Linked DNA regions of Tribolium castaneum. The protein of the gene in region 1 interacts with the protein of each later gene in a pairwise test. Links are inferred from orthologs where the notes say so. Each region holds a gene or a part of one and is shown in the gene's direction. Other genes may lie near its edges.

What was found.
Region 2: the proteins of Ubc4 (region 1) and E3 ubiquitin-protein ligase MARCHF2 interact in binary tests that used the Homo sapiens proteins (3 or more experiments, as listed by UniProt). The link is inferred for Tribolium castaneum from reciprocal best matches to the Homo sapiens genes UBE2K and MARCHF3.

What each region holds. Positions count from the first base shown.
Region 1 is NC_087394.1:31,292,394-31,299,594, reverse strand, and holds Ubc4 (ubiquitin-conjugating enzyme E2-22 kDa), read left to right. Parts: upstream 1-2,681; 5' UTR 2,682-3,037; coding exon 3,038-3,100; intron 3,101-3,161; coding exon of another isoform or gene 3,162-3,183; exon of another isoform or gene 3,184-3,315; intron 3,316-3,344; coding exon 3,345-3,497; intron 3,498-3,546; coding exon 3,547-3,629; intron 3,630-3,675; coding exon 3,676-3,839; intron 3,840-3,887; coding exon 3,888-4,024; 3' UTR 4,025-4,480; downstream 4,481-7,201. Other genes in the region: Prps (ribose-phosphate pyrophosphokinase 1), read right to left, coding at 57-122, 2,135-2,318, 2,393-2,597, 3,162-3,183; E3 ubiquitin-protein ligase RFWD3, read left to right, coding at 6,157-6,184, 6,239-7,201. UniProt on the Homo sapiens protein: Accepts ubiquitin from the E1 complex and catalyzes its covalent attachment to other proteins. In vitro, in the presence or in the absence of BRCA1-BARD1 E3 ubiquitin-protein ligase complex, catalyzes the synthesis of 'Lys-48'-linked polyubiquitin chains.
Region 2 is NC_087395.1:3,975,136-3,981,417, forward strand, and holds E3 ubiquitin-protein ligase MARCHF2, read left to right. Parts: upstream 1-3,331; 5' UTR 3,332-3,472; coding exon 3,473-3,598; intron 3,599-3,648; coding exon 3,649-4,290; 3' UTR 4,291-4,299; downstream 4,300-6,282. Other genes in the region: pcs (SH3 domain-binding protein 5 homolog), read left to right, coding at 5,046-5,150. UniProt on the Homo sapiens protein: E3 ubiquitin-protein ligase which may be involved in endosomal trafficking. E3 ubiquitin ligases accept ubiquitin from an E2 ubiquitin-conjugating enzyme in the form of a thioester and then directly transfer the ubiquitin to targeted substrates.

The sequences.
Region 1 (7,201 bases):
AGACGACACTTTCCCAATAAGCCCCTGCAACATTCACAAAATTTAACAATTTTTACCCTGAATTTCCATTCGATTGACTTCCATTTTTCCACGTTGCGTTCGACGTCATTTTTATTCGCAGGCTAAAATAATCTCGTATCAGGTAAGTGTGTATGTGAATGTACGAAGGTGTAAATCTACTTTATTCTAATCGAATGATTTCAGTTAAAATTAAATTTTATTTATGGGAACTACGTTGCATAAGAGAAAAAATTGGAAATTTGTCAACAGAAACATTGAGAATACGAAAAACAGGTGCAATTATAAATAAAAATACACTTTACATAAGTTTCTTTCAACTTTTTAGAAAAAACTTCAATCTCTGTCACGTTAGAAAAAGTCAAGAATCATAATAATTAGAGTTTAATTATTATCACGATAGTGTAAGTAGTTCAACATTATTACATTACTTGATCTACTCTTGAAATATAAAACTATTTAAAGCAATGCATTTTGCTAAACATTCCACTATTATCAGTTTATAAACACACATGAACCCGAACTTATTGACGTATTTCCGACCATTTCAACTATTTTTAAGTTATGCTAATTAGTAATAGATATACAGAATCTTAATTAATTAAGAGAACTGTGGCTAGTTCCTCGCTTAGACGTCATTGAAAGCAAAAGTGGTTTTGCTACACAGATAAGGAACCAATAAAATATTTTTGTTCAAATTACTCAATAAATTGTAATAAACAAATATTTGAGGGGGAAAACAATTAGGGCAGGCCAGTTGGGACCTGCACTAAGAACACCCCGAATTAAAATGATAATATTTTAATGTTACTTAAAATTGCACTTGAAAACTGCCACAAGCAAAGAATTCCATTTACCTGGAACTCTTATTATTTCAAAAAATTACTGAAAGAGATAAAGATATTAAAAAAATCGTGATCAAGTGTATTGTAAATTTTTTTGTAAACGTATGATTTCTCTAAATTCGTTTGCTTAGTCCTGTGACAATTCAAGATAAAGGCGGTTGGGTAGAGCAGTAGAATGATGCACATGAAAAATAGTTTGTTAAAGAAAAATTTGGTCTTTTGAAGGAAAAGTAACACGTAATGTAATTTAGACACGTTTTGAAATCATTATTTCAGTAATTAAAAAAAATTTAATAATTTTTCTCGAAATCTGCTCTTCAACTGTAGACTCCCCACTAGTTTTTTTTATCTTGTTATTATAATACATAGTACCAATCAATCATTTGAATTTATAATTAGAGTAAGTTTTTATGGCTTCTTTTCTTGTATGGCAAGGCTGATTATTATAATTAATAAAACTGAAGAGTCAGTTAATCAAATTTCGAACGGTAATATTTAATTAGACCACGTTTTTGCCTCTAGATTACCAACTACATAAGAAAAAAACGCATACATTCAAATGAGTACATGTTGACAAAAAATCTATTGGCATTATTGAGCTATTGGTCATTCTTCTAATTTGTTTCAGGTGATGGCTAGGCATGGAAGTGTATATTATTTGTATAAAATTTTGAATTTGATATTTAAATACTGGCAAACCTTAATCACACAATCACTTAGTATTTATTATGATAAGAAATAGACTTATTTTTCCACTTTTGTGTCAAGAAAAACATCAATAAAATCTAAAAGTACACAATAATTGTAGTAATAAAAAGTAACAAATTAAAGACTGTCTTTGTTAAATGGATATAGCAAAATCACTTTTAATAGTGCAGTTACATTTATTATGCCTTTGCTAATATTCTAGTAAAAAGCCTTTATGACTATTTAACACATCATAAATCATATATTTCTTAAGCAAAGCAAACATGTTTGAAATACTTAAGTCGCGGCAGTGGCGCCCTCTCAACCACGTGCTCCTTTTGCCGACCTAACGGTAAACAAATTGTTTCAAATTAATAAACTACGTGGTCGGATTGAACTTGTCCAATTATTAAACCAGATGCTTGACTAATTTGTCAGGTCAATAGGAAAAACCACAACCCTAATTGTCCTAAAAACCAAAACTACGGTCTCCACAAACCCGCTTGCAGATGTATACAAAGTCACGTGGCGTCTAGGTTATCTACACATGTGCAGGTACACAATTGGAGCAATTGTGCACTCACCTTGTCCTTCTTGTCTTGCCGAGCGTACGGGAAGCATGGAATGACTGCAGTGACTCTGCTCGCGGACGCAATTTTGCACGCATTTATCATGATGAGGAGTTCCATCAGGTTGTCGTTAACTTCCCCGCTGCCCGACTGCACGATGTACACGTCTTCCCCACGGACGGACTCCCCAATTTCCACGCTAAAATAAAATAATAATAATAAGTCGCAATTTAAGCCAAGTCAATAAGCAAATAATTTCCAAAGCCCACTCACCATGTTTCCAAGTTGCTGAATTTCTTCGTAACCACTTTGCCCAAGTCGATCCCCAGCCGGTCCACGATCCTCTGGGCCAGGTCGGGGTGCGAGGTCCCGCTGAAGACTTTAATGTTCGGCATTCTGCTCTGGAGGATCAACGAAGACTTTTCCAACTTTGCCCGCAACAAGCTTTTAGCACGTACGGGCTGGGAAACGGGCATAACTGCAAAACGCGCAGCCAATCAGAAGCGGGGTCTAATGTTATCGGCAAACAACGCTCCAGAATGATAAACCTTGTGACGAAATACTCCCTGCTTATCGAAGATTTCCGTCGAAAATATCGCCGAAATTGTCAACAGAAATCGCGCGGGGGGGCCCTTACGTCATCGTTGCAGCAGTCCGAGGGAAAATCCCCGAATATTTGCGAGATTTCGGCCGATTTGGCGCGCGCGTAAATTCCGTAAAGTTGGCTATAATGCTATTGAAAACAAGTGACATTTCTTCATTTAGCATTTCATAATTTGCCTAACTTCAGTGAGAAATTAAAAGTGTGAAAATCGATCTTTAGCCAGTGTATTTTTTACTTTTGTCAACAAATCGCTATTTTTTAGAGCCACGGTTTATCTGTTATGTTTTACTGCATTTAGGAACTTCCCCACCAGAATGGCTAACATAGCAGCACAAAGGATACGACGAGAGTTTAAAGAGGTTATTAAAAGTGAAGAGGTAGGAACTTCGCAAACACTGTTTTTCTGTTATGTCATTCTAACTCCTAAACGCCACTTACCGTTCTCGGTTTCCTCGGACATTTCGAATTTTCACACTTGAAATTGTCAGTACACAACGTAAAATATTGATTACTGAAAAATGCCCCCTGCCATAAATTCAAAGCGAAGGGGTTATCACTCCAACGTCATTTCGTAACAATCAACAAACTTGGCTAATACGATCGTGCTTGTTTGAAATTTAGGTAGCAAAATGTGCCATCAAAGTGGAACTCTTAAATGATAGTTATACAGAGCTCAAAGGCGAGATCACGGGCCCCCCGGACACGGCCTACGAAGGGGGCACCTTCGTATTAGAGATTAAAGTACCTGAAACATACCCCTTCAATCCACCCAAGGTACGTTTCAACATAACCAGGAAAAAAAAGACTAAGAGTTTTGTAACAGGTCAGGTTCATTACGAAGATATGGCACCCGAATATATCATCAGTAACGGGCGCTATCTGCTTAGACATTTTAAAGGACCAATGGTGCTTTCTATTACGTGGTAGTATTTGTTATTAAATGAAATTCTAGGGCTGCAGCTATGACGCTGAGGACGGTGTTGTTGTCGCTCCAAGCGCTGCTCTCAGCTGCGGAGCCCGATGACCCACAGGACGCCGTGGTGGCGAAGCAGTTTAAGGAAAATATAGAAATGTTTCAAATGACGGCCAGACATTGGACAAATGTTTACGCAGGCGGTAATTTATGCAGTTTGCAATTAGGACGGCGTGACGCTCTGTTTGCAGGTCCCCATGTAAATAAAGAATGTGACGATAAAATAAAAAGGCTAGTTGATATGGGAGTGGAGGAGCACCAGGCGCGGGTCGCTTTGTCGTCGTATAACTGGGATATAGAAAGAGCAACTGAACAGTTATTTAGTTAGTGAACTATTTTAATCCGCCATTTTACTATATTCTCTCTACACTTTTCCAACAGTTGGTTATGAAACGCAGTTTCATTTTCTACCCAATAGATTACTGACTTAAATTATTTTGAAGGTGTACAAGATGAATAAAAGGATTGTTTGCATTTACCTTATGTCTCAGTAATCACTATACGAAAGTCTTGTTTTGGCTCTTGCGAACTAATTTCAACTTTTGTCAATATTGGTGTTTGAAATTTATTGATGTTACTGATGCTTATCGTTAGTTCTTTCGAGTACAAAGTCTTTCAATTAATTACGGTTTATTCTTGCTAGTGAAAACCACCAGATTAGTTTTTTAGCACTTCAAGTATGGTAATTGAATGAAATGCTTTGTATAACCACTTTCCAATTAGTTACTGTTTTTATTTGTAAATCGGCGATTGAATACTGTTAAAATAAAATTTTAATCTTGAATATACAGGCACTGAGGTGAGTTACAACCCTAAGACAATCCACGTCCATTTGAAACTCAAATACTCCATGAAAATAAAAGTTGCGCATTAACTCTTAATTTATGCACTGATTATGCAACAGATTTACATAAGTAGCACCACGAAAGGTCGAGACTCCTTCGGTACTATTTCAAAATAGATTTAAATTCAATTACAATCACCTATTATTAGTCCAGTCATTGAATAATTTCAATGGTCCAGTCAAATAAGCCTGTAAATCGAAATGTTCAAAAGCTCGCTTTTTTTATATAAGTTACATGGAGCAGTTAAAAACGTTTAGACAAAGAATTTTTTAGTTGAAGAAACGAAATTAAAGCGTTTTTTACAGATTATTCAAAATCGCTGAAAGCTAGAAAAAAAAGTTTTAAACAAAAATTGTAAAGCCGAAAATTTTGCATAAAAATGTTCACTTGACTGTTTTTGATATTAATATTAACAGAAAGTTAGGGCGGTTAAAATAATATACATATACTGTAAAATCTTGTCATAACACTTGAAAAAAAGGTTGTTTTTTGTTAGTATTTTGGCATCGCTGCGAACATCTTTAGCTTTTTTTGCAAAATTTTTATGAAAACCTATTCAAATTACACCAAAAATTAAGGGTTTCTAGTCTTTTATAAGCAAGAATTCCTAGGAAATCTGGGCTTATTTTCGACCAAAAAAGAAGAAAAATTGGCGGAAAATGTATGGTTTTTCCCGTTATCTTAATTTTTTTATCTAATTAACATGTTTTAGAAATTTTTCGAAAAAACGAAGATTTTCGGTAGTTTTTATTCGAAAAAAAAAATCAGGTAGATACATTCTGTGTTTTTGGTGGCAACTTAAAACATATATAACAGGACATAAGTGTAAAAACCTAAACCCGTCCTGGCTAAATCAGGACGGTTGGTAACCTTAGATTAAAAGTAATTTGTTAATTTATCATTTTTAGAAATATGCTGCGATTTCACCTCGAGCAGATTTTGCGGTAATTTTATATTGTAATAACTGTGAGTGTTCCAGATATTGAAATGATTCTTACATGAAAAACTTATTTAAGTTATTAACTTCATTTCATATCGAAAAATTCATTACACAGGACGTTACAAGAAAATGTAATTTTTAGTTTCTTTTTATCAAAAGTCAACCTTGTGTAAATACGTAAAACTGCATTATTTACGGTGGAATCTTTTACAAAAAAAATAAATTTCTAGCTTTATCCAGAAAGAAGATACGGGATGTAATCGCAAAATTTGTCCAATGTTAGGTTTTTGTAAATTTTTACTAAAAAGTCTTTTTGACCCCTTCTCGGGAGTTGGAACAACCTTTGTGACTCCACAGTAATATAAAAAACGCAAGTTTTTTCCAACTTTTCGATTTAAAGGCTTATTTGACTGCCAGCAGGGAGGAAGTTCATAATCGTGAATTATTTGTATTTTTTATTTTTATCAGTTATCAGATGAGTTATTTTTCACTTAGTGGTTACGAAAAATCCGCAAAAACATTTCCGTGTGGTTATTTTTGCGTAAAAATCTTATGCAAGGACGTGAAGGTCGTTGACGTTGAAACGTCCTTGAGTTTGACGTCGCCATTTGACATTGACAGGATAGTTTTTTGAGGTTAGGTTGTAAATTTATTTGAAAAAAAACCCAAAAAGTAATGAACTTGGATGACTACAACCACGGAGGTAACCATAAACTCGTTATTCCGTGCGAATTATCACACAAGTCAACCGTTTCAGAAAATGAGATGGAAGTTGAAGGCTCTGAGGACTACCCCTTGCAGATAATCTCCCCGCGCGTGGAGGAGATCCACCCCTTAGCATTAGTAGCAATAAACGTAGATAATAACGAGCCCCCCGCCACCTACAACGACGTGGGGTTCCCCCTAGTGCCACAAGCCAACGAAATCGAAAGACTGTCCCCCACCGAGTCAGTGGCGAGCACCCCCCAGACCTTCGACGAGGAGAGCAACCAGTCGCGAAAGCGCACCTTCGAGGACGAGGAGCGCGAGGAGGACGGCTCCGTGTGCCCCATTTGCCTGGACGAGTGGACGAACACGGGCCCCCATCGGATATGCGCCCTCAAGTGCGGGCACCTGTTCGGTGAGCAGTGCATCACCCGGTGGCTGAACCAGAACTCGCGCAAAACGTGCCCGACCTGCAAGGAGAAGGCGCGCCGCCACGACATTCGCTACATTTACGCCAAAAAACTAACAGCAATTGATACAACTGAACTGGACAATATCAAAAAACAGCTGGACTCGGTGACCGAACAGCGCAACAAGTTCCAGACTGAGTTGGCCACGTGCGCCTACCGCGAGCAGTTGCTGAGGCAGGAGATCGCCCAGCTCAAGACGCAACTGAGGCAGAACAATGTTCCTACTTTCAACCAGCCCATGGTGGAGCGCGTCAAGCTGTACATGGACAAGGCGATGGAGATTTGCAAATTCGGCGGAAGCCGGGTTTTTGACGCGCGCTGCGAGCTGGACCTGCTCATGGCTTCGATGAAGTCGCCCACGAATTTGTTCGCCGGGTTCGGCTTGAAAAAAATAAACATTTCGGGGTACAGAACAATCGCGTTCATTCCAGTCCATACGTTGCAAATTAGAGACATTTGTTTCCACAAGGAACAGAACTGGGTGCTTACAGCGTCCATGGACAAGACCTTTAAGGTCATAAACAACCACGAGAATTCGGTTGTCC
Region 2 (6,282 bases), on another chromosome or scaffold:
AAAATCTTTGTTCAGCCAAAGCTACAGTTTCCTTCGCTGCTGCATGAATTTCTACAACCAAAAATAAACATCTCCACACGAAAACAAACCAAAAAAAGTCACCATTAGCTCTCTGGAATTGAACAGCAGCTTTCTGGCACTCTTGTTGTGCCTTTTTCGCTATCTCTAATGCTTTGTAATAAGGCCTCGCACGCTCGATGCAACTACCGAGTTTTTTGGGCAAGATTTTGAGTCTTCGAGTCGACTCGTTTGGAGCATTCGGAAAGTGGTGTTGGCTTCCTGTGCATAAAAAAAATATATTAAAATAGTTGCAAAAATTTCAACGTATGTTTTGCATCTACTGAGAGCGAAAACAGCCAAAGTCACAAAACAATTTTACCTAACATTATTTTTATGAGCGGTTATTAATTTATGGATCGTTTTAATCACAGCTTCAGAAGTAATAAACAAACAAAATCAAGAAAAGTTTTCACAAAGGTAAGATTTCAGAGAAGGTCAAGAGGGAAATGCACAATCTTAAAAGTTTTAGTAATTTTGGCAAATGAAAATTTTTTGAAAACGCTGAAAATGTAATAATTGAAATAGAATAAGCATTAAAAAAAACAAAATCCAAAAACGCCATATTTATAAAACCTAAAGAAGAAAATGTAACGTACTTAAAGAGTTAAGCTTAAGAAAGTTTTCGGAAATGAAGAAGAAGGCAAAAAAAAACAGAAGAAGTTAAAGGAAACGTTTGAGAAAATTTTATAAAGTGAAGAAAAAAGATGAAAGAGTTGAAAATAGTGAGAGATTAAGCTTAAAAAAAGCTGTCTGAATACAATTTCAGAACCAAAACAGAGAAATTAGTTAATGTGACAAGAACTACTTTGTCTACAAACAAGCTAAAATAGAAAAATATTGAGTTTTATAAAGCGAAGAAAGTTTTAAGGTGAGACAAGGTAAGTAAGTTTCTTTGAGGCGAAGACGAAGATGATGAGTTAAGTTTAAAATAAAGGTCTTGAAAAATGAAGACCATCCTTAAATAAGACTTACAACAAGCAAATAATGAAAACTATTAAAAAAGTATCTCAGAGAAGTTAAAGAAAAAAGTATAGAATTGGTACGACTTTTGTTGTATATGATCGAGCATATTAACAAAGAGATATTTAATTAATTAACAAAAAGCTCTAAAAGGACTTAATGCTTTAACGTCCATTATATCCATTATGTTGGTAAGATATTCGCGTTCAATCCAGGGTCTCTGGTTCGAATTATTGCGAATCCAAGTTTTTTTTAATTTCGTAATATTGCGCAATTTGATGTATTACTGTATTATAATTATATGTATTATAATAGCTAAATAGCTCAGTTAGTAAAGAGTTAGATAGATAATTACAAGGTTTTGAGTTCGATTCCTATCGCCGCCTTTTTTATTGAGAATGCAGTTGTTCTTAAATCTGAACTGGTGGGATCTCGAGTGGCCATAGAGATTGACGGGCAACTGAGTGCTGCCAAATATTCTCAAAACATTTCTCGGTTTTAGGACTCTTCCATCTATTCATGACTTACAGTAATATCGAACAACAATGACCTGTCCTGTTGATTCGCCAAAGGCTCATGAGTCGAAGACGAATTCAGGATTGATGGTCGTGCCGATGATTCTCCTCGATAAACACATACCTATAAACGGTATAAGCTGTCGTGAAAGAGGAGATGCTGTAAGAATAGATCGGATTGTAAGGTTTTTTGGGTGCTTTTAATGTAATTTTGTTTGATTTTGGATGATTTTCCCGTGTGCCCTTTTTCTGGTGGTCTATTGAGTTTCGAGTATTTTTTGGGAGCATAAAAAATTATGCTCTTTGATTTGGTGTTGTTTTTCTCTTTTTTTTTGCATGCGCCAATTGGTCTGGTCCAGAAATAAAAAGCCATTTTGGAGTGTCTAAAAACACGGTATGTTGTAAGTTTTTTAGAGTGCTCGTGAGATAATTTTACATGATTTTGGGAGATTAACGGTTTTTTCGTGTGCCCAATCTTTGGTGGTCTACACATTTTTGGGAACTGTTAGGGTGGATAAAAATTAATGATTTTTGAGAGGTTTTAGGCCCTATTCAGTTGTTTTCTTTTGGGCAAACAGCTAAATTTGTAAATTTTGCCTTGTTTTTTAAGTCGCTTTAAGTTGTTATTTATTGATTTTTCCTTGCGCCAATAGGCTTGGTCCAGAAATGATCAAAGCTGTTTTGAGGTGTGTGAAATTTGGAGATTTGACAATGGTTTTAGAGCAGTTTTGAGGTAATTTTAATTGATTTTCGCATGCGCCAATTGACTTGGTCCAGAAATGAAGAGCTATTTTTGGGGTGTCTAAAATCAAGGCATTTTGTAAGTTTTTTAGATCTTTTTCGGATGGTTACTTTTGGGAAAACTGTAAATTTGTAGGATTCTACCCTGTTTTTCTTTTGGTGGCCTACATATATTTGGGAACTTTTGGAGTGGATAAAAATTAATGATTTTTGAGAGGTTTTAGGCCCTATTCGGTTGTTTGCTTTTGGGCAAACAGCTAAATTTGTAAGGTTCTAACATGTTTTTTAAGACGCCAAATGTTCTGGCCCAGAAGTAACATTCTATACTCTACTTTTATATGTAAGCGATTCTCTACCACACACCACTGAGTTGGTGCGCCAGTTTTTTAGCACCCGGTACATAAAAATTTCGCTAAAATGTTTTGTATTTTATATTTATATTTGTATATTAGCGCAAAAACTAAGTTTCAGCGATTTTGCTGGTAATGTTTTATTCATATTCTTATACAATTATTCTTGTGGTGTTTAATTTTATTCACTTTGTTACTTGCTGTTGTCGCGACCGAATAAACGCCTTATAAATAAAATCAAAATTTTACGGTTTAGAAGCTTCAAATTCGTTGGCTAATGATATTAAATATTATTGACATATTGTTTTGATTTTGTTATACTTTATTTTTGTATCTTGCTACAAATTGTAGTAACAAGCCACAAAGTTAAGTGCATTTTTTTTCATGTAAGATTTTAAATATGTGGTACTTACTAATAAATAACATCTTGTATTGACTTTGTTTTTATTTTATTTTTAATGTCTTACTTCAAACTGTAGTAGAAAAAGATACCCTGAAGGTAAGTGTATTTTTTTATTAAGAACATTTGATTTTTGTTTTGTGTTTTATTTCACAAACCTCCACGTGGCTGTTCCTGAACAAGTTACTTATTAATTTAACTAATTAGAACAATCTTTATATGTACTGTGTATAGCTAGTTGCATTTTTACAGGCGTAAAATTATGTTTAAATAATAATAAACTAATTATTTTTGACTCTCAGCGATGAGGTCGTAAACAGGTTGGAGCTTTTCAGCACCTGTAGCCATAGTGGCTTAACTTTCATTACGTTGGTGCCGCTTGGTGCCGCTCCAAATGTCACAAATTTCAAATTACATAACGCGGGCTTTAGCACCAAAACAAAAAAATGAAGCCTTCTTCATCCCCCTGTAACGCCTGTCTGGACCCCAAACTATCCATAATTTCAGTGCTGTGCCGCATTTGTTATGACAACGACAAAGACGAAGCTTTGATAGCCCCCTGTCATTGCAAGGTGCATTCCCTACATCTCCCATTGATTTTTAACAAAAAAAAAACCTGTAGGGTACTGTAGCATTCGTCCACAGGAGTTGTCTCGAGCGATGGTTAGCCGAATCCAACACCACAATGTGCGAACTGTGTCATGTTGTCTTTCGAACCGAACGTTCCCCCAAATACACTTCACAGCAGTCAATTTGGCGGTGGTTGCGGAGCCACCGGAGCCCCGGGGGCATCGGTAGGGGGGTCCGGAGCGATATTATCGCATGCACGGTTATAACCCCCGTTGCTATAATCATAACTTACGTCTGCTTGTTTTCTTCCGATTATTACAACCAGAAAAAATTTATTATGGTCCCGGCTGCTCGTTGGACTTCTGTCTCTCTTCTCATAATGATTGGGATAATGCTGATTGGTTATTACTTGTGGGTTTATTCAGTTATTCGGCTTCATTCACGAATGTGGTACAACTGGTGGCAAAGAGAATGTGTCGTGAGGTACATACCCCCCAGTACGGCCCATATTTGCTGCCACAGCCCCCTTGAGACAGCCAACCCAAACAATACCCCTACTGAAGACAATGAAGACGCTAGAAGTAGAAACGACAGTGAAGTTGAGCAAAATAATGAAGAGGTAGAACAAGGGGGCTCCGAACCAACTGTTGTCATTGAAATGCCTGAAGACGAAAATAAAGAAACGACTGTTTGAGCAATCTTATTTATATATTTATTAATTTGTTGCATATTACAAGAGTCTCGTATAATATATTCCCTGATTTATCACGCCTTTGATTAATAAATAACTAATTTCAATTGAGAGAAAAGTGAGGTTAGGTTAAACGTCAAACGTTTCAAAACAATGCTCCTAAAGAGGAGTTCACAAGTTGTGTACTTTATTCCAACAATTTCCTCAAAACTTGAAACTAATTGATAAAGCAAATAGTAATTTTTGTAGAAGCATTTTGGAAACAATTTGAAGTGTGGCTCCATGTTCTTTGTTTATTTTATACGTTAGGTGTAGTTATAATAATGTGGGTCATGTGTCCCGTAGACGGGCCTTTAGAATCATCCTGAAATGACAAGTGACATTTCACAACTCTGGCACTTATCTCAGCGGTGCGTTATTAGTGTGGTCTTTTTCTTGCACACGGGAACTCTGGCGACGTGTGTCGTCTCTTATTGCAACTTTCTCCCAGTATGACGTTTGCCTTTTCGTTGTGTTTGTGCTTCTAATCTGATAAAATAATTATTTTGAGTTAATTGTTGTGTTACATTTGTGTGTAGCGTTCGTTAGTTGTGTTGAGATCGTCTCGTAGAATAGTTTGAGTGTGGTGACACCTCATGTGATAAAAATAGCATTAACGTCATTAATTATGTTTAATTAGTTCCCCATACAATACAATACATGACTAAAATGTGATACAACAATCGTAAGACTGAAAATAGGTTGTTATTCAATCGAAGATGAGTGAAAACGAAGACAATGAATTGGACCCTCGAATACAGATCGAACTCGAGAAGCTCAACACCACCACAGATGAAATCAATCGACTAGAAATAGAATACGATGTAAGCCCCCATTTTGTACTTTATTTTTGCAGGTAAATTTTTACTTTAGCTACTTCTGGATTTTTGAAAATTTTTTTTTTGCATTTTGCTTTAAAAAGCCTCTAGATCAAAGATATGACCATGAAAGTTTGTGCAAATGCCCCGTTTTCGAAAAATTCGACTTTGAATGACCTTGACCTAGACTTTTTAAATTTTATTAACACTCTAATAAATGATATTAGCCGTAAATATAACTATAAATGAGGCAAGGCGCCTACAGATGATAGCCCACAGGCTGGGGCTTCGCCCCAGCGACCTAAAAATAAACATACCCCACGGACGATTAAACTCGAAAATGTTGAACTCGAAACGTGGAATAGTGATTTTTATGGAGCTACAGCGCGTACAGGTCGTAGGGTACAGGCTGGGGCTTCGCCCCAGCAAACTAAAAATAAACACCCCACGAACAATTAAACTCGAAACCGTGGAACTCGAAACGTGGAATAGTGGTTTTTATGGAACTATGTTGCGCGTGGCAACTAAAAGGAAACATACCCCACGACCAATTAAACTCGAAAACGTGGAACTCGACACGTGGAATAGTGTTTTTTATGGAGCTAGGGTGCCGTACAGTTCGTGGCAGGAGGCTGGGGCTGCGCCCCAGCTAACTAAAAGGAAATATACACCACGATTGGTAAATTAACCTCAAGAACGTAGCACTCACAAAAAAATACCTTGTTCACCACTAGTAAGTAAAATAGTAATGGAGTGGTGTTGTTGGTAAATTGCATGAAGAGAAATGCGGGAATGCATCCCCACTTCCGTCAATCAGCCAATCAGAGCACAGAGACATAAATTCAAATTGCAAAATATGAAAAAATACTTTTTAATGAAAAAGGTATAATACGTCATTTAAATTCATTCTGGGAATACCCGAAGGTGTTATAATCATAACAAACACGCAGGTGCGATTCTTACCTGTTGAAGCTAAACAATAACAACCAATCAGAAATAAGCACACGCAACGCATGCACACCCTGGTGGCGAACGTTGTATCCCTTAAAATCAACAAAAATGGCGATTCAAGTGAAATGAGTGAAAATAAAAATTATTTTTGTAATGTTATTTTCAATTTGCACAAGAAAATTCATAG